3 linked regions of the Arabidopsis thaliana genome follow. The protein of the gene in region 1 purifies or fractionates together with the protein of each later gene. This does not show direct contact. Each region holds a gene or a part of one and is shown in the gene's direction. Other genes may lie near its edges.

The links. Proteins that work in one complex are often made in the same cells at the same time.
Region 2: the proteins of AT5G22780 (region 1) and HAP13 fractionate together in Arabidopsis thaliana (co-fractionation; one large-scale study listed by BioGRID). This does not show direct contact.
Region 3: the proteins of AT5G22780 (region 1) and AT1G47830 fractionate together in Arabidopsis thaliana (co-fractionation; one large-scale study listed by BioGRID). This does not show direct contact.

What each region holds. Positions count from the first base shown.
Region 1 is NC_003076.8:7,594,481-7,600,447, reverse strand, and holds the start of AT5G22780 (Adaptor protein complex AP-2, alpha subunit), read left to right. Parts: upstream 1-2,334; 5' UTR 2,335-2,619; coding exon 2,620-2,745; intron 2,746-3,523; coding exon 3,524-3,655; intron 3,656-4,027; coding exon 4,028-4,153; intron 4,154-4,368; coding exon 4,369-4,431; intron 4,432-4,516; coding exon 4,517-4,614; intron 4,615-4,695; coding exon 4,696-4,903; intron 4,904-5,068; coding exon 5,069-5,140; intron 5,141-5,214; coding exon 5,215-5,307; intron 5,308-5,549; coding exon 5,550-5,651; intron 5,652-5,764; coding exon 5,765-5,862; intron 5,863-5,967. Other genes in the region: RER1 (reticulata-related 1), read left to right, coding at 63-132, 217-296, 407-471, 860-1,053. UniProt on the Arabidopsis thaliana protein: Subunit of the adaptor protein complex 2 (AP-2). Adaptor protein complexes function in protein transport via transport vesicles in different membrane traffic pathways.
Region 2 is NC_003070.9:22,368,186-22,374,804, reverse strand, and holds HAP13 (Clathrin adaptor complexes medium subunit family protein), read left to right. Parts: upstream 1-2,581; 5' UTR 2,582-2,919; coding exon 2,920-3,048; intron 3,049-3,412; coding exon 3,413-3,559; intron 3,560-3,658; coding exon 3,659-3,721; intron 3,722-3,864; coding exon 3,865-4,041; intron 4,042-4,124; coding exon 4,125-4,228; intron 4,229-4,331; coding exon 4,332-4,439; intron 4,440-4,578; coding exon 4,579-4,675; intron 4,676-4,760; coding exon 4,761-4,858; intron 4,859-4,970; coding exon 4,971-5,112; intron 5,113-5,213; coding exon 5,214-5,336; intron 5,337-5,417; coding exon 5,418-5,516; 3' UTR 5,517-5,852; downstream 5,853-6,619. Other genes in the region: AT1G60770 (Tetratricopeptide repeat (TPR)-like superfamily protein), read left to right, coding at 6,157-6,384, 6,599-6,619. UniProt on the Arabidopsis thaliana protein: Subunit of clathrin-associated adaptor protein complex 1 that plays a role in protein sorting at the trans-Golgi network and early endosomes (TGN/EE).
Region 3 is NC_003070.9:17,612,262-17,617,427, reverse strand, and holds AT1G47830 (SNARE-like superfamily protein), read left to right. Parts: upstream 1-2,441; 5' UTR 2,442-2,643; coding exon 2,644-2,646; intron 2,647-2,734; coding exon 2,735-2,833; intron 2,834-2,909; coding exon 2,910-2,960; intron 2,961-3,232; coding exon 3,233-3,406; intron 3,407-3,874; coding exon 3,875-3,934; intron 3,935-4,040; coding exon 4,041-4,082; 3' UTR 4,083-4,399; downstream 4,400-5,166. Other genes in the region: HXK3 (hexokinase 3), read left to right, coding at 1-20, 113-243, 699-780, 859-1,185; AT1G47820 (uncharacterized protein), read right to left, coding at 5,024-5,166. UniProt on the Arabidopsis thaliana protein: Subunit of the adaptor protein complex 2 (AP-2). Adaptor protein complexes function in protein transport via transport vesicles in different membrane traffic pathways.

The sequences.
Region 1 (5,967 bases):
TGGTGGCTGTGTATTCGGGATGAGATGTACTTATACATGCTTTTTTTTTTGTACTTCTGAAGTGTTTTTGAAGCAGAAAGACCGGGTTGTAAATTCTCAGTTAACCAGCGGATTGCAACATTCTTCTACAAGGTATGGAGAAGAACTATTGCTTTAATGTCCTTTGTGGATCTTGCTTACCTTTGGTTTGATTAATTGATGTGATTCTTGGTCCAGGGCCTCTTGTATGGGTCGGTTGGATTCGGCTGCGGCCTCATTGGTCAGGGAATTGCAAATCTGATCATGACAGCAAAACGGTATTCTTTCACCATCGACTTTATCTTGCTACTTTTCAATGATGAAATGAATCTTCTGACTGTTTAAAAAACTGTTCTTCACTGAAATTTGAGGTTACCTTTGTTAATAGGAGTGTGAAGAAATCAGAGGAAGACGTCCCTATTCCACCTCTTTTCGAAAGCGCTGCTCTCTGGGGTAAGCTTTACTTTTGATCTCTAACTATGTTCTACAGAATCATCGATGCTTTTCCCCTCTGATGTTCACTGAAAACGATAGTCTTGAACCGTCGATATTGTGTTGTCTACTCTTTTTCCGAGTTCTTGTGATCAGCCATCGGTTTCTTAACCGGGCTTAGTTTCTTAGAAAGGAAAGAACCTGAATTGCCAATGATACCAAGAATAGATTATGCTTACAATTCTATGTGAAGATATTAGCTACATTGTCCTGTTGTTAGCAATATTAGATCAATGGAGAGGGTAATTTAGTTGCTGAGCTCAGAGATAACCCTGAAGTTTACTCTGTGAATTGTTGATTACATATACATATATATTCACTCTCTTCTCTGTATTGCGCTGTTGTTCAGGTGTGTTCCTCGGCTTATCTTCCAATGCGCGTTACCAAATCATCAACGGCCTCGAACGCGTCGTGGAAGGTTCTACAGCGGCCAAACGTATCCCTGTGGTCGCTATGGCATTCACGGTGGGAGTCCGGTTTGCTAACAATGTGTATGGCGGTATGCAATTTGTAGATTGGGCTAAATTGTCCGGCGTTCAGTAATCAACCGGTTCGGTTTTGTTACAAACCGGATAGTAAACTAGCCTAGATGTCAATCCTCAGGAGTATGAGAGTATCTCTAATCTGATGGGGAAGTTTAGTTATCTGAGTTTCATTAGTGTGATTAGGTTATTTACCGAGAGCTACAGAAAGAGAATCTGGTTCATGATACGGACCGGATTCTTCTAACCGGAATACTACTCGATACAACATTTTCAATTTGGTTTTGGAAGTTGAGTTTCTCATGGTATCCTTGTCTCTCTTATTCATTTTTCTGAATCATATACTTGCAATAATGACTCAAACTTTTTATCAGCCGTTAGCCTCTGCGTTTTTATAAAGTTTATAACAATATGATCACAATGGCGAATTATGTCAACTAAACGTCATTTTTGACGTTTGCGTTGATTCATTCTTCTGTGTTTTTTTTTTCACTTTTCCCACCGTTAAAAGTGAGAAGGGGAAAAGGAGAATTGTTGGTAGGTGGAGATATTAAAAGTAATAAATAAAAATATTTAAAGCAACTATGAGTGAGTATATTACAAAAAAATCTTTCGATATTTATTTGCAAGGAAAATATTCTTAGGATACTTTGATGGTAAGGCATCATTCGATAGATGGAGGATCTTGCGAGTGACAGCTTAGTAACCACTGTCATCCAACTGCTGCATGATCCTCATCTTTTGTTCTCTTGTTTCTGTTTTGTGCCCCTTAATGATATTTTATTTATACTCCTTTACTTAATTTGAACAATTTATATTATATGCCCTATAGATTAATTAATGTGAATACCAAATGGTAATCAAAAGCTGACGACTGTTCAAAGGAACATTGTCCTCCCAAGGAAGGTGAATCATTTGATTAATCATCCCTACGTTGGGACCATAACTTGACCTGAATTTAAAATCCGGTTTTTTCATGGTCTCATGGTATGGTTATGTACTTATGTTATACTGAAATACCAATTGAATACATAACCGCGGTGAAAAACAGTTTAAGATTTTGAGACAGATTGTACAAACTTCGTTTTAATGGTGCAGTCTTTTGAGAAATGGCCAGCTTTCTTCATTTTTAATATATAAAATTAGTTTATTCCATGTTTATTTTTCGAATTACTCGTTTATTTTTTGTATTTCTCGAACTTGTAATCTTAAATTCGTCTGTTTAGCTCGTTTTAATTTTTGTTTTTTTTTGTAAACTCGTGAATTCTGTTTTTGGACGAGTCAATTTCGAATTTTCCAAATTCGCATGTGTTCAAAAATCAAAACAGACGAAACTGAATAACACAAAATTGAATAGTCAAAGTTGTAAATAATAAAAGTCGTCCCTCGTCTCTTCCCGCAGGCTTGTCTCTCTCTTCTCCAAAGATCACTCTCTCCTTTTTGAATTTCGTCCATTGGAGGTGTCATTTTCCGTTTCTAGATTAGGGTTTCGATCTCAGCTCTCGCGAATTGCTAATCCTTCAGCTGTGGTCTGCGCTTTCTGTCATAGTTAGATCCGGTTTCGCGAGTTCGGATCTGCGCCGTGTGAGGCGGTGGAGGACGGTGGATCTGAGGACTCTGTTCCACCATGACCGGAATGAGAGGTCTCTCCGTATTTATCAGCGACGTTCGTAATTGTCAGAACAAGGAAGCGGAGAGACTACGAGTTGATAAGGAGCTCGGAAACATTCGTACATGCTTCAAGAATGAGAAGGTTACTCTCAATTATCTCCATTTTTGTTTGCCTGTGTTTTATTCTCATTTTGAGTGGTAATTCAGTGACGGAGTAGTATCTGCCGAGGTTCTGTATTGATTAGATATATTGGAGATTTCTCCATGAAGCTACCTATTCCTCTGAGGTTGATTAGGGAGTTATATAAGAATGTAGTTGAAAGAAAGATGCAATCACTGGCCGAATATTTTATTAGGAAAGCCAGAGTTGCCGAGTGGATAGTTTTGGAAGCCTGTAGTTTCTTATTTTATCGGATTCAGGCTATAAATTTTTGATATAACACTAAGTGTGTACCTGGACAGGCAGTATTGTATAGCTAGCTCAGATCGGTAGAGATTAGCCATTATTCTACCCTTTGTAACATCACTAGTACTGCTTTCAACTTTGGAATGTCATTACTGCATTTAAAGTCCATAGATGGGAGAAGATCAATCAAGATATATAAGACACTAAATATATGATGATATTTAGGAACTAGAAGAAAAGAATGGCCTGGCAGTAAATTCGGTTATGTAGTGATGGTCTAAGGAAAGAAATACAGATCACGGAAAATTTTGAAAAGCTCATTACGAAATACATTAAGCTTTGTTGCTGTAAGAAGTTCTGGAGAGATAATCTGGTTCCATACTCTACGTAGTAGAGCTGTAGCCGGCCTGTAGTGGATCCATGTGTGGCCAGTTGGACCAACACCAAACTTATTTTAAAATGTTAGAAATAAATTAATCATGCACTCTTACTTTAACTTGTTTTATGTTTTCAGGTCTTAACACCATACAAAAAGAAGAAATATGTCTGGAAAATGCTTTATATACATATGCTAGGCTACGATGTGGATTTTGGCCATATGGAGGCAGTTTCTCTTATATCTGCGCCAAAGTATCCAGAAAAGCAGGTAAGCCAACGTTTTGTAACCAATGAAATATTGCTTTCTAAGGGTAGGAGAAGATAATAGGTGTGTGTGTGGTGGGGGTGGGGTATTTGTTTGATTCAAGTCTAGTGAGCAAGCTGAAACAAAAAAAAAAATCTCTGAAGATAATGGATGCTGGATTTAGATACTATTTCACAAGCTTGCAACTTATTCAGTTTGAATGGACCTGGTAAAGTACTGGAGGCATTTACTTAGACGCATAAGTTACTTAGTAACATCGTAGCAAATCTTAACCAGGAACCATGCATTGTATCCAAGGGTTTGTATTTGCAGTTTGTATTATTTTATGCTCACTACCAAATTTGCAGGTATTGAACTTTTCATCCATAATTTCAGGTTGGCTACATTGTTACATCTTGCTTGCTCAATGAGAACCATGACTTTTTGAAGTTGGCTATAAATACAGTGCGGAACGATATTATTGGTCGGAATGAGACTTTCCAATGCTTAGCACTGACCTTGGTATGTTGGCTTTTGTCCATGCTGTGTTGAGGTTTTAGAGCTTAGTGAGGTCTTTCTGATTATGAATGCAGTTGAATGACTATTTTAGTGGAAGTCTTTGGATACATTTATCTTTTGTGCTCTATTATTTTGCGATTCAAAGCCACTTACTTCATTGAACTGGTGCTTTTTTTCTTCTAGCTCTCTTACATTTCCCTGCTTATTTTGTCCTGTAGGTTGGAAATATTGGTGGAAGAGATTTTGCTGAATCATTGGCACCTGATGTTCAAAAGCTACTTGTAAGTGACTCCCAAAGATGACATGTTATGTTTTTTTTCCCGATATAAGTAAACATATAAATGTTTTGGGGCTTGTTCGCTGCAGATTTCTAGTAGTTGCAGACCTCTCGTAAGGAAAAAAGCGGCACTGTGCCTACTGCGCTTATTCCGAAAAAATCCGGATGCTGTCAACGTTGATGGCTGGTGTGTGTGAACACTCTTGGGTTACTGGTTGTTTGAGTTTACTTGTGCATCTTTCATATTCACTTTGTCGTATACTTCCAGGGCGGATCGTATGGCACAACTTTTGGATGAACGAGATCTTGGTGTCTTGACGTCTTCTACGAGTCTTCTTGTAGCTCTGGTATCTAACAATCATGAGGCGTACTCAAGTTGTCTACCTAAATGTGTCAAAATATTAGAACGCCTTGCTAGGAACCAGGATGTTCCTCAGGAGTACACATACTATGGCATCCCATCTCCTTGGCTCCAGGTTTGTCTTAACTCGGTTAATACGTTCAATATTTTTTAATCACATCCTTTTCCCAATCTCATGCATTTTAAACATTTTATGTGAAATTAGCTTATGAAAATAGAGGCTTGCCCCAGCTTTGGTATGTTGTGGTTGTTGGATACTTATATATCTTTGGCAGTACAGGTTAAGGCAATGAGGGCTCTTCAATATTTTCCAACCATTGAAGATCCCAGTACCAGAAAAGCTCTCTTTGAGGTACAAATTTTCTTGTGTAAATATCTGATATATGTCTTCGAAATCTCTCTCATGGCATTTCATGGAAATTTCAGGTCCTTCAGCGAATATTGATGGGCACAGATGTTGTGAAAAATGTGAATAAAAACAATGCGTCTCATGCCGTGCTGTTTGAAGCTCTCTCCCTGGTAAGCTCTATCTAAGAAATAGCATTAACTTTTTGAGGTTCAATTGTTGATTATACTCAAGTCAACTATCTGTCCATGAAATGCCATGAGAGAGAATTCGAAGACATATATCAGAGATTTACACAAGAAATATTGAACCTCAAAGAGAGCTTTTCTTCGCGATGATTAGATTGATGAGCACACTCTAGTAAACTTTCTGGCTTAGTGTGCAACCCCTAACTTGTTAATGTGTTTTGATATAGGTCATGCATCTTGATGCTGAGAAGGAAATGATGTCACAGTGTGTTGCTCTTCTTGGCAAGTTTATTTCTGTCCGTGAGCCCAACATCAGATATCTAGGCTTGGTGAGATCTTGCATACCCACTTCCTGCATCTAAGCTTAGCTAGAACAGTAATTTGTTAAGTATTTGGTAGTGCATTATGTGGCTTCTCATGATGCTTGTTGACAACATTGCAGGAAAATATGACGCGAATGCTGATGGTCACAGATGTTCAAGATATCATAAAGAAGCATCAGTCTCAGATAATCACCTCGTTGAAAGACCCTGACATCAGGTTGGTTTAGATTTGCTATCTCAGCATCAGCTTTCTGGCTTGTGAACCCTGATCAGTATCTCTTTACTGCTCTAATTTGGAACCAGTATGACAATTTTTTTAATC
Region 2 (6,619 bases), on another chromosome or scaffold:
TCTTTTCTCAAGCATAAAGAATGTAATCATGGTATTTAAAGCATATGTTTAATGTGAAAGAAATACAGTATTATGTACCCTAAATGGAACAACTTATTTTGATATACGTTCTTAAGTTATTTTTTGATACATAATTTAGTGGTGATGCCAATAGTTTTTGTTTTAGTCATACAAACTGAAAGGTGCTATAGTTTTTAAAGGGTGGTGCAAAAGATATCGATCGTAGTCAACTAAAAAGTGCCCTAACTAATGATTACGATAATCCGTTTTATATTGGTCGAAGTTAGGTGATTAAAATATGGTTTCTCTACAAGTATTTTGTTTGGACACTGCAAATAAAACCTTCATGCACATAAATTCTGGAACCATCTTCATTTTTTTCATAATTAATCTCTATCATATATAGTAGTATAGACCCCGAAGTAACTTAAATACCAATTATGTATTATAAATACGGATTGATAACATTTCATATCGAAACATTTCATACATTTTATATCTGTAATGTTACAACCAGTCTAAAGCCAAGGATTCTAGAAACTAGAAACAAATTTTACTAAAATTAATTGAGGGAAAACTCAAGAATGTGTGTGTGATCATTGAAGAAATGAAGAATGTGTGTTAGAGTGAGTGAATATTCAAAAGACTCAAATAGGTTTTTAATGAACAATAGGGAACCCGAGGAAACGCGTGACTCTAAGATATATGAATTTATTTTGCACTTATTACTTTTGATTAATTTTTATATTCTAACCCTTTTTTATATACTATTTTTTTCAGTGCAAGTAATGAATGAAGTAACGAGATGAGAGTCTAGTTTCAAAGTTTTGAATCTTTTTGGTCAATGTCGTCTCTATTTGTTGACCATATTATACGTTTGACTTTAACCCCATTTTTCTTTAATCTCATTCTTCTTCTTTGCTTCAATGGTTGACGAATTCTTACCGTAGAAGTTGCATCTAAATATACCAAAGATTAATACTGCGAAAATATGATAAAGAAGATTTTTTTTTTTTGTACTCTCTAGAAATTTGTAAACGATATTATTAGTGTTTGATTAAAGACTCCAATTTTTAACATAATGTCTATATCCACATAATGAATTTGTGTCTCTACTATATGTAGTGTTCCCGTCATATATGCATTTTTGCGATAGTCAATCGGATCTTTGTATTGCGGTTAATTGATCTGGTCTTTCTTGAGCGTACAAAATAAATAGAATTGTACGTATTATTAGAGATGGTTACATTTGGTTTACATTATTAGTTAAAGTTAACCAATAATGTAAACCAATAAAGTTAACCAATAATGTAAACCAAATGTAACTATCTCTAATACGTATGTTGACTATGATGTACTTCAAGACAAGTTCATCATCACTTAACGTAACTAACACTATATTAGTTAAGTTCAAGACTTATTGCCCATGATTCATTTGTAAACTATGAAGTAACATATCTCTGATTTTTTCCTCTTATGTTTGATAAATTAGTCATTATAATTAGTGTCTTGCCAAAAAGTACACTTCTATCTTATTAGCATTCTACATTACAAACTATTAATTTCACTACGTATAGCGGTATAGGGAGAAGATCAATAAGGCGATCACAATATTAGTTAAGTTCCGAGTCTTGCATTACCATTGTCCTATGAATCACAGAACAAGAGGACGCATATATATATAGTATTTATAAAAGACTAAGATAGTCACAGAACAAGAGGACGCATATATAATTGACAAATACTCAAAACATGTGAAAAGATAAGGGCTATTACGTCTTCATTAAGATCCCATAATCTTTATGATGAGAACTTAAGAGCCAAACTAGCTATGTAACAAAATATCAAGTTTGAAAGTAATAAACTGCTTGAATAAGCTTCAAGTTCACTACATGGTTTAGAAAGGTTTAAAATCTATTACTTTCAAACGCTTTTATTGTGTACCAATCAATCCAACAAAGTATGCAATCGTACTAATCAATCCAACAAAGTATACACTCACACCGGTAACATCAAAAATTCAAAAATTCAAAATTTCATGTTACCAATCAATCCAACAAAATATACAATCCCTGAGACCGAGTTATAATTTGTTGGAATGATTGGTACCAGTGAAATTGTGTTGTCGTGTGAACATCAACACATAGGAGGTAATATACGTAAATATGCTAGCAATCAAGCTAAGTATACAAAACACTTCATGTTGCAGTGTTCTATTGAAATTTTATATATCGAACTAGAATACTATCATGGAGAATGATCAAATGTTGCATATCTTCATATCCACGAAAAATGAGTACACAAACATTCGATCATACCCCATGACAGTTTTCTAGTTTATACTTGATAGTCCTCACGATTTCATGGTGGTGACACTACACAAACCCTAGATTCCCCTAAAGTTTTTGTGAAAAACGCATATGTTCGATTTTAGGTTTTACTTCTATCCTTGATTCATTACAAACCTATTTTTATACTAATTCGTCGTTAACCTAATAATTTTAACCTACGAAACCCAACCTATATGGGCCTGACTTTATGTAATGATCCAATGGGCCTTTCTTCTTCAATGATGACTTTCTTCATTGACTCTCCTTCTACTTTCGATGGTATTAAATTTGACGGAAAAAGTAAAACGATACCGTCTGGGTGAAAGGCAGAGCTCTTTGCTTCTGAATATTATTATTTTCTTAAATTCTTCCGTTTTTTTTTTTAATCCAACCACAAGGATCGATAACGAAATCATCAGATCGCCAGAAAAAAAAAAAAAATTGCGAAATGGAGAATCTGAGCTGCAGATCTGCGTCAATCTCCATCTAGATGTTGTTGCTACTTCTTCCTCTATAGAACCATAATTTCATCAGATCTCGCTGATTAATCATCCCCATTTGGATCTGATCGAAACTCTTAGGGAAGAACATGGCAGGAGCTGCCTCCGCGCTGTTTCTGCTTGATATCAAGGGACGCGTTCTCGTCTGGCGTGATTATCGTGGCGATGTCTCCGCTGCTCAAGCCGAGCGATTCTTCACTAAGCTCATCGAGAAAGAGGTTGTTCTGATCTTCCTCTTATCGCTAATTGGTCTTTGTTTATTGCTTGGTTACTGTAGAATTTTCAGAGAAACATAGAGTTAGCGAACGAACTTGTAGATTTGTGTTTGAAAGATTCGTCAATTGGAATTGAAACATTTCGAAGATAATGGATTCGTGTCCATTTTCATCTGCACTGGAAATGAATTTTGAAGATAATGGATTCGTATCAGTCTTTGTGATCTGATGCCGCTGAAATTTTTTGGAAGTAATGAACAAGTTTGATCATTGGTTAAATGTTTTGGATTAGAATTTGATTTGAATCTGTACTTTTGAAGCATTCTGGTTTAAATCAGAGTAATCATCGTTTTGTTTAATTGTTCAGGGTGATTCACAGTCAAATGATCCAGTTGCTTACGATAATGGGGTGACTTATATGTTTGTACAACATAGTAATGTATACTTGATGATAGCATCCAGGCAGAATTGTAATGCTGCCAGTCTTCTCTTCTTTCTTCACCGCGTTGTCGATGTAAGTATGGCTGGTCAATTCTTTAGTTTTTCTCTTAAGGTTCCATCTTTTTCCTGGATATTTGATGTAATGGCAATGGTATCTGTTATCTGGTTATAGGTTTTCAAGCATTACTTCGAGGAGTTAGAAGAGGAATCATTGAGGGATAACTTTGTGGTAGTGGTATGTTAAGCTTCTGTCATCGCTCTTTTAGTACTATTTCGCAATATATTTTTCTATTACTTGGGCAATCAAAAAGATCCTTAAAATTTTGGAAAAGTATTTGTCATTGTTAGATGCTGAAATTGATTTTTTGGTGCTGGCAGTATGAGCTACTTGACGAGATGATGGACTTTGGTTACCCTCAGTATACCGAAGCAAGAATTCTCAGTGAATTCATCAAGACTGATGCATATAGAATGGAAGTTACACAGAGACCTCCAATGGCTGTGACGAATGCTGTCTCCTGGAGGAGTGAGGGAATACAGTACAAGAAGAATGAAGTGAGTGCCATTGTTTTCGCAAGATAGGAATATGTTTCTGATGTTTCGGTTTGCAAATAATGACAACCTGCTTCTTTTTCCAGGTTTTCTTGGATGTTATTGAGAATGTAAATATTCTTGTCAACAGTAATGGGCAAATTGTCAGGTCTGATGTTGTTGGAGCGCTGAAGATGCGAACTTACTTGACGTATGTCAACACATCAAATTTACGATATAGTTCCTAATCAGCCAAAGCATGTTAAATCACGTCCCTTTTTGACTATTTTGCTCTTTGATCCATTCTATTGCAGTGGAATGCCAGAGTGTAAGTTAGGACTGAATGATAGAGTATTGCTGGAAGCGCAGGGACGAGCAACTAAGGGAAAAGCCATTGATTTGGAGGACATCAAATTTCATCAGTACGTCTTTAAGTTTTTATTATATTGAAACTTGGAAAGTCTTCACTGATCTTAACCCTTCTATTTTCTTTTTGTTCAAAAAGATTATATACTTGAGTTTTATGTATTCTCTTCTTCAACAACCATTTATTTAATGCAGGTGTGTTCGATTGGCCCGTTTTGAAAACGATAGGACGATATCTTTCATACCACCTGATGGGGCTTTTGATCTGATGACATATAGACTCAGCACTCAGGTTTGACATGTGGGATATAGCATCTACTGGAATTGTTCCACGTCTTCAACAAGTAAATATCATGATTTGTTTCTTTTATGTTCAGGTAAAGCCACTTATATGGGTGGAAGCACAAATAGAAAGTCATTCAAGAAGTCGTGTTGAGATGCTCATAAAAGCTAGAAGTCAGTTCAAGGAACGAAGGTAAATATATTCTATGGTATTTGTGCCACTTTCCTTTTCTGTCTTACTGTCATGCAAAGATCCTGATTGATCAGATTCTTTAAACCTTTGATCACGAACATTCTTTTTGTAGCACCGCAACGAACGTTGAGATTGAGTTGCCTGTACCAACCGATGCATCTAACCCCACCGTTAGGACATCTCTAGGGTCTGCCTCTTATGCTCCTGAAAAAGATGCGTTAGTCTGGAAAATCAAATCTTTCCCGGGGAACAAGGTATAACACTAACAAGGTTCAATAAACTCTTAAATTCAGTTGAAACAGTCAGCAATGTAGACTATGTAGTATCAATGCTAACCTTCAGAAAACCAATATAGGAGTACATGTTAAGGGCAGAGTTCCATCTTCCAAGTATCACTGCAGAGGAAGCAACTCCTGAGCGAAAGGCTCCTATCCGTGTCAAATTTGAGATCCCTTATTTCACTGTTTCAGGGATTCAGGTAAGCTTGTGCTTAATAATAAATGGTTACTGTCTCTTCCACAATGTCATATATATAATATATATGTTCTTTGGTGTGTAGGTTCGGTACCTAAAGATTATTGAGAAGAGTGGGTACCAAGCACTTCCATGGGTGAGATACATAACCATGGCTGGTGAGTACGAACTAAGACTCGTGTAATGCACATTTAGTTTCATCGTCTATGTCAATTGTGATTCCCACATCCCTCAAGGAATTGCCTGAATCAAAGAAGCAAAACGAAACAGGACAAAAGTAGAGGGAAAAGAAAACGTTTTGAAACATTTTAGCTGATCAAATTTTCCTTTAATTTGTTTTAGAAGCCATATTCTTGTGAATTTGTCTTTATGGTGATTCTATTTTATTTTACATGAGGCTCTCTGTAACCTTTCACGACATGGTTCATTATTTTCCTTTAGACTGCTACATTTCTGTCTATGTGTTCGTTCTGCGATCAAAATTGTTAAACGTTGAGGTTTTGGTTTTGTTTTTTGGGGCATTCGTCTATGTTTACATAGGTTTCTCTCGAGTTATGATCAAAATGAAACTACATAAACAAATTATGCTTCAATAGAGTGAGGTGAGAGAGCCTTACAATAGAGAGAACGTATATTTTGGTGTTTCTCATATTGTTTAACTGATATAGTATGGGCCGAAATGAAATAATCGTCAGGCCCATTAAAAAGCCCATAATCACCATACTTTCTCCTCCAATTCTGTTTCGAGCTTGGGAAGTGACAGTGAATTAGGGTTTTACTCAAAAAACCTTCTCGTTGTCGTTGTTTACTGCTCCGACGAGAAAATGGCGATGCGACATTTGAGCCGATCGAGAGACGTTACAAAGAGATCGACAAAGAAGTACATCGAAGAACCTCTGTACAATCGCCTCTTCAAAGATGGTGGTACAGAGGTCAAAGTTCGACAGCAGCTTAATCAGTTCCTCAAAGGCACTAAACACGTCTTCAAATGGGAGGTCGGCGATACGATCAAGAAACTCCGAAATCGCGGCCTCTATTACCCAGCTCTCAAGGTTTCATAAATCCAAATTGCATTTTCGATTCTCTAGGATTAGCTTCACAATAAGCATTTGCTTCAAATCTGTTGAATACATATAGAAATGTAGATTCTTAAGTGGTATTTTGATGCTCATTATGAACAATTTAGTAATTGTTGAATAATTTTTTCACTGTGTGATGATTGTGTCTTTAGATTTCATATTGTGGAGTTGTTTTTTTGGTTTGTAGCTATCTGAAGTTATGGAAGAG
Region 3 (5,166 bases), on another chromosome or scaffold:
GCCTGAATCCTGGTGAACATGTAGTAAAATTTTATCCTTTCTTTAGTAACATTATGTTTTTTGCCTGGTGTCACATGTTTTACAATTGTTTACTGTTTGTGTGTGGATGAAGTTATATGAGAAGATGATCTCAGGGATGTACCTTGGTGAAATTGTAAGGAGGGTTTTGCTCCATATGTGTGAAACTAGTGACTTGTTTGGACACTTCGCTCCTGCCAAACTCTCCACTCCTTTGGCACTCAGGTATCTTTATCCAAGTCCATATTTTGGTTGTTGTTTTATGAGTAGTAGATTTAGTTAGGATGTGTAGTTTGGTTTATGGTTTGGTTTCGGCTCAGTATTAAAACTCGATTTCGTTCAGTTTGATGGAATTACGGTTTGAAAATTTCTCTTGGTAATGAAAATATCAAACATTGATCATTGGTGTATTTCAGTTTGTTTGGTTCAGGTTAAAAAATTACACAAGATCATTTTGTTAGTTAAGTTTCAATTTTGGTTCAGTTACAATTTCGGTTTGTTCGATTTTAAACCAGGAAATACCAATATGCTCAAACATTTCGGTTCAGCTTTGGTTCGGTGCGGTCTATATATGCTCACCCCTAGATTCAATACCTTAATAACTTGATTAGCTAGGAAAGTGTTGTAAATTCTGATTGACAGTTTTATTCATTATTTTTTTTTTTGTAAATTTTGTAAAGGACCGAGCATCTATGCAAAATGCAAGAGGACAATACAGATGATCTTCGGGATGTTGGATCAATCCTATACGACTTTTTAGATGTAAGTTGTTAATGTATAAGGCTAATCACATCCATAGATTTGATAACTGTACCAACCTGATCGAGCTATTGAAAATAGGTAGAGGCGAATATGAATGCAAGGAGGAGAGTGGTGGAAGTGTGTGACACAGTAGTGAAACGCGGAGGGCGTCTAGCAGGAGCTGGTATAGTGGCAATTCTGGAGAAGATTGAAAAAGATACCAAAAGAATGGGTTCAGGTAAAAGAACCGTTGTGGCTATGGACGGTGCACTGTATGAGAAGTACCCACAATATCGACAGTATATGCAAGACGCACTAGTCGAGCTTCTTGGCCATAAGCTTGCAAGTCACGTTGCGATCAAACATACCAAAGACGTGTCTGGGCTCGGTGCTGCTCTTTTGGCGGCCACTAACTCCATTTACTAGTACTTGGACCTCTACTTCATGAGTATAGGAGGACTTTTGGTCCATTTGTTTGTGTACATTTATATAAGATATCATATCAATATCAATAAGATTGTAAAGAGGAGCAACGAACTAGCAGAAGATTATGTCTTGGACCACTTCGTACAACACTAGAAAATCCTTTTACTTCCAAAGTGAAAATTTTGATACGATTTATAATTTTGGATATAAATCTATCCCTATTTGGTTTGTGAAACACTCTAAATGAAGTAGAAGTTATGAATTATGTCTAATCAATGAGTTAGATTTGTAACTTTGTTTAAACAAACCGATAAGTTATGTTTAGTAACAAACGGCTGACTAGTACCATTGCTTTGTATAAATCAATAAATTAAATATAGATAATAGTTTTAAAGATTCTTTTCTAGAGTAATATATATTATTTTTTTTGAAAACTTTTAATATCATTTTAACTAACAAATAAATTTTAACCACCAAACGTTTAGTTTTTAGAGTTGGCAATCGTCCATTTTTTCTCTCTTTTAATCACTTTTTCCAACCGCTCATATGATTGGTAATCTCCAAAGCTGTTTGTTTTGTTTTGTTTGCAAACAAATCTATTGGATCTTACTAATCAAACCCAATGTCATAATTAAATATAGGGCAAGGCAAAATATTTGTAGTACTCTTATTTGATTTGCTATATCATCTTTGATCCCATTAAAAATATGCAGATATTTGTAAGTAAATTTAATATATGTTAGAGGGAAAGTTAATTACAAATATTAAAATTTGCAATATGGATATCCAAAATGGATAATACAATTTATTAGCATTCAAAAAGGTTTTGCAGTACTGGATAGTCCTAATATTTCACGTATAAAGGAAGATCAACCGTTTCACAAATGGATTGACAAATTACATGCGTTTTCATTGTTTCTAGATTTTCATGCATTTGATGTTCTCCCGAATACTTTGATTTCGATATTTAGGGATGATAAGTCTGAACTATCGTGTCACGACATGTTCGATTAAGGTTTTTCTTCTGATTTTCACCAAAAAAAAAAGAAAGCCTTATAACAAAAAAAAATTAATAAAACTTTTATCATATTTTTTGAACTTTCATAAAATATCCAATTAAAATTTAAAAATTAACAGATTTGTAACTAGTTTTGAGAGGATACGAATATGAAACACATAATATTTCATTGAGTTGGAAAAAAAAAGTTGTAGTTAAATCAAATTTTTAAAACAAAAATTCTATTTCACAAATCTTTTCTAGCTCCAAGCTTATTTTTCTATTTCCTCCTAAATCAATTTTTTTCTTAAAAACTCCATCTTTTTGACTGGATAGTTTGGCTGCTTTACGAACCTGTTTTCAACAAAGGTCGTGAAAATTCAAAGTGAGATCTGAAAGAAGAAAATTCCTCTGATCGCTCACGATTTCTCCTGAATTCTCCATTAGATTTTGCAGAGAAAATGGTACACTGCTTTATTTCTCTTCCACTTTGTTTTCCTTTGTTCATGTCTGACGCTCAATTCTGATCCACCTCTCTCCCAATTTGTCCAGATCCGATTCATATTATTGCAGAACAGACAAGGTAAGACTCGTCTAGCCAAATACTATGTCCCTCTCGAAGAATCCGAGAAACACAAAGTCGAATACGAGGTACTACTCATTTCAAATTCTATCATCTTCCTTTTTTTATCCTTTTTAGGTTTCTGATTCTTAATTCTTTTCACAGGTTCATAGATTAGTGGTGAATCGCGACGCCAAATTCACCAACTTCGTTGAGGTTTGCTGTTTTCATTTTGTAAAATTTATCATTCTTGAATCAGATTTTGTATAATTTGATTGATTTTAAAAAGCATTGGCTTGTTGAAATTGTCTTAGGTTTGAACCTGATTTAGGTTTTGTATAACAAGATTAGGGCTGTTGGAGATAGATTATTCGAGATGTAGTAGAAGTGTGATTGAGAAACAATAATATGGAATGCGTTTTATGTGAGTGGGTGTCATTGTGAATGTTAATGTATGAATGATGAAACTGTTTTGCAACTATTTTCAGTTTAGAACACACAAGGTGATATACAGGCGTTATGCTGGATTGTTTTTCTCTGTGTGCGTGGATATAACCGACAATGAGTTGGCTTACTTGGAGAGTATCCATTTGTTTGTGGAGATATTGGACCATTTCTTCAGCAATGTTTGTGAGCTAGATTTGGTGTTTAATTTCCACAAGGTACTTAACCTCTTTACTTACTCTTATCCTTTGTAAATAGCTTCTGGAACTGCTTCGTTGGATTCATAACTTTAAGTTGTGATGCTGTACAACAACTGGTTTTGAATAAACACTGGGATTTTGCTTTGTCTTTTGAGTATTGAATGCTTACAAGTTTTGAACTAGTTAAGTGAATTCTCCCAGATGTTTTAAAATGGTTTTCTGAGAATTCTCATATATTAAGCTTACAAGGGTATATCAAACTAAGCTTTTGTTTGCGAAAATCAAAAGCTAGTTTCGTTTTCTTCTCAGTATACTTGTCCCAATTCTAAGCTGACCATCGTGACCCATTAGATAAATATCTGTATGCAGCCTTGAAAAGCATTCCCTATTTGTGTTTATATATGCAGATGCTACAGTGTTTCTAGATTTGATCTGTGTTTGTACTCTAATAATTGCTAACTAGTTCCCTATGACTTAAACTGAAAGGTGTACTTGATACTCGATGAGTTCATTCTTGCTGGGGAGCTCCAAGAAACAAGCAAAAGGGTGTGAAATTTTTGTTTCAAGCTTCTCTCTTTCACTTAAATGTATCACACATGCTCTTGCTCAAGTGCTAAACTTTTAAATGTTGGGGACTTGTTTTAATTCGCAGGCAATCATCGAAAGGATGTCAGAACTCGAGAAGCTACAGTGATGACGGTTAAGAATCACATTCTACTTGGTTAACTGCGTACCTGCCAGATGTTTCTTGGCATGTTCAGAGATTTGCTATACTTTGTTGAGTTGTTAGACAATGGTGTAGCGTTTACATTGTGAATGAAGAATTTAGAGTGATTCTGCTAAAGATCTCTCATCCAACATTTTGTTTACCTGTGAGATTTTCATTTCAACTAGTGATGTACTATTTGTTTCGTAGAACTATGATACCACACATGCTTTGAGAGGATATATAACTAATATTGATAGTAACTGTTGAATTATCAACATAATGTGATGAATCGATTTCTCGTGACAACTTTAAAATCCTTTATGATCATGTCGACTAAACCATTTTCTGCTATCTCTGCCAGTGACTGGTCTGTGCTGATACCCAAATCCTTCTTTGTCCTCCACTGATAAGATTCATCAGGTCACAGAATCTCTTACATCTCAGCGACAAAACAGAAGAACATGAGACGTTTTCTCACCAACCCTACTCTTTCTTAAACTCTAACATGTTAGACTTACTAAGCGTCAAACATGAGACTTTGCGAGTTCCTGAATCAATCATGAACATTAACACTAACCAGTAATACGTAATGTAACCAAATCAGTCCTGCATCTAATGCCCAAAATACCTTTGTTCTGTTCTCTAGTGTCATCACAGTTTCCCTGAAGTTCCAAGAGCTTCCTTCAATAACTCAATGAGCATTCAAAGCAATGCAATCACCAACCTTAAGTAATAATTCAACAACACCATTACTAAATTCCACCTAGCAGATGCAAACATTTGAACATAACTTAACCCAAGTCCTCATATTCTTCTTTAGATAAACAGAACTGTTCCACAAACAGAAAATTTGAACAAAGGTTCAAAATCTAAGCAACATCAATGGAAAAAAGACAAGACAGCAAGTGATAAGCAAAAGGAAAAACTCAAATCTTTGTCTTCTTGGGTGGTTTCACAGGACATATTACAGGAGAAGCATCATCATCATCACCTTCTTCATCATCAGACAAGATTTGGTCAGGGACATCATCATCTGGAACATTATGCTTTGTGATAAAATCCTTAAGTA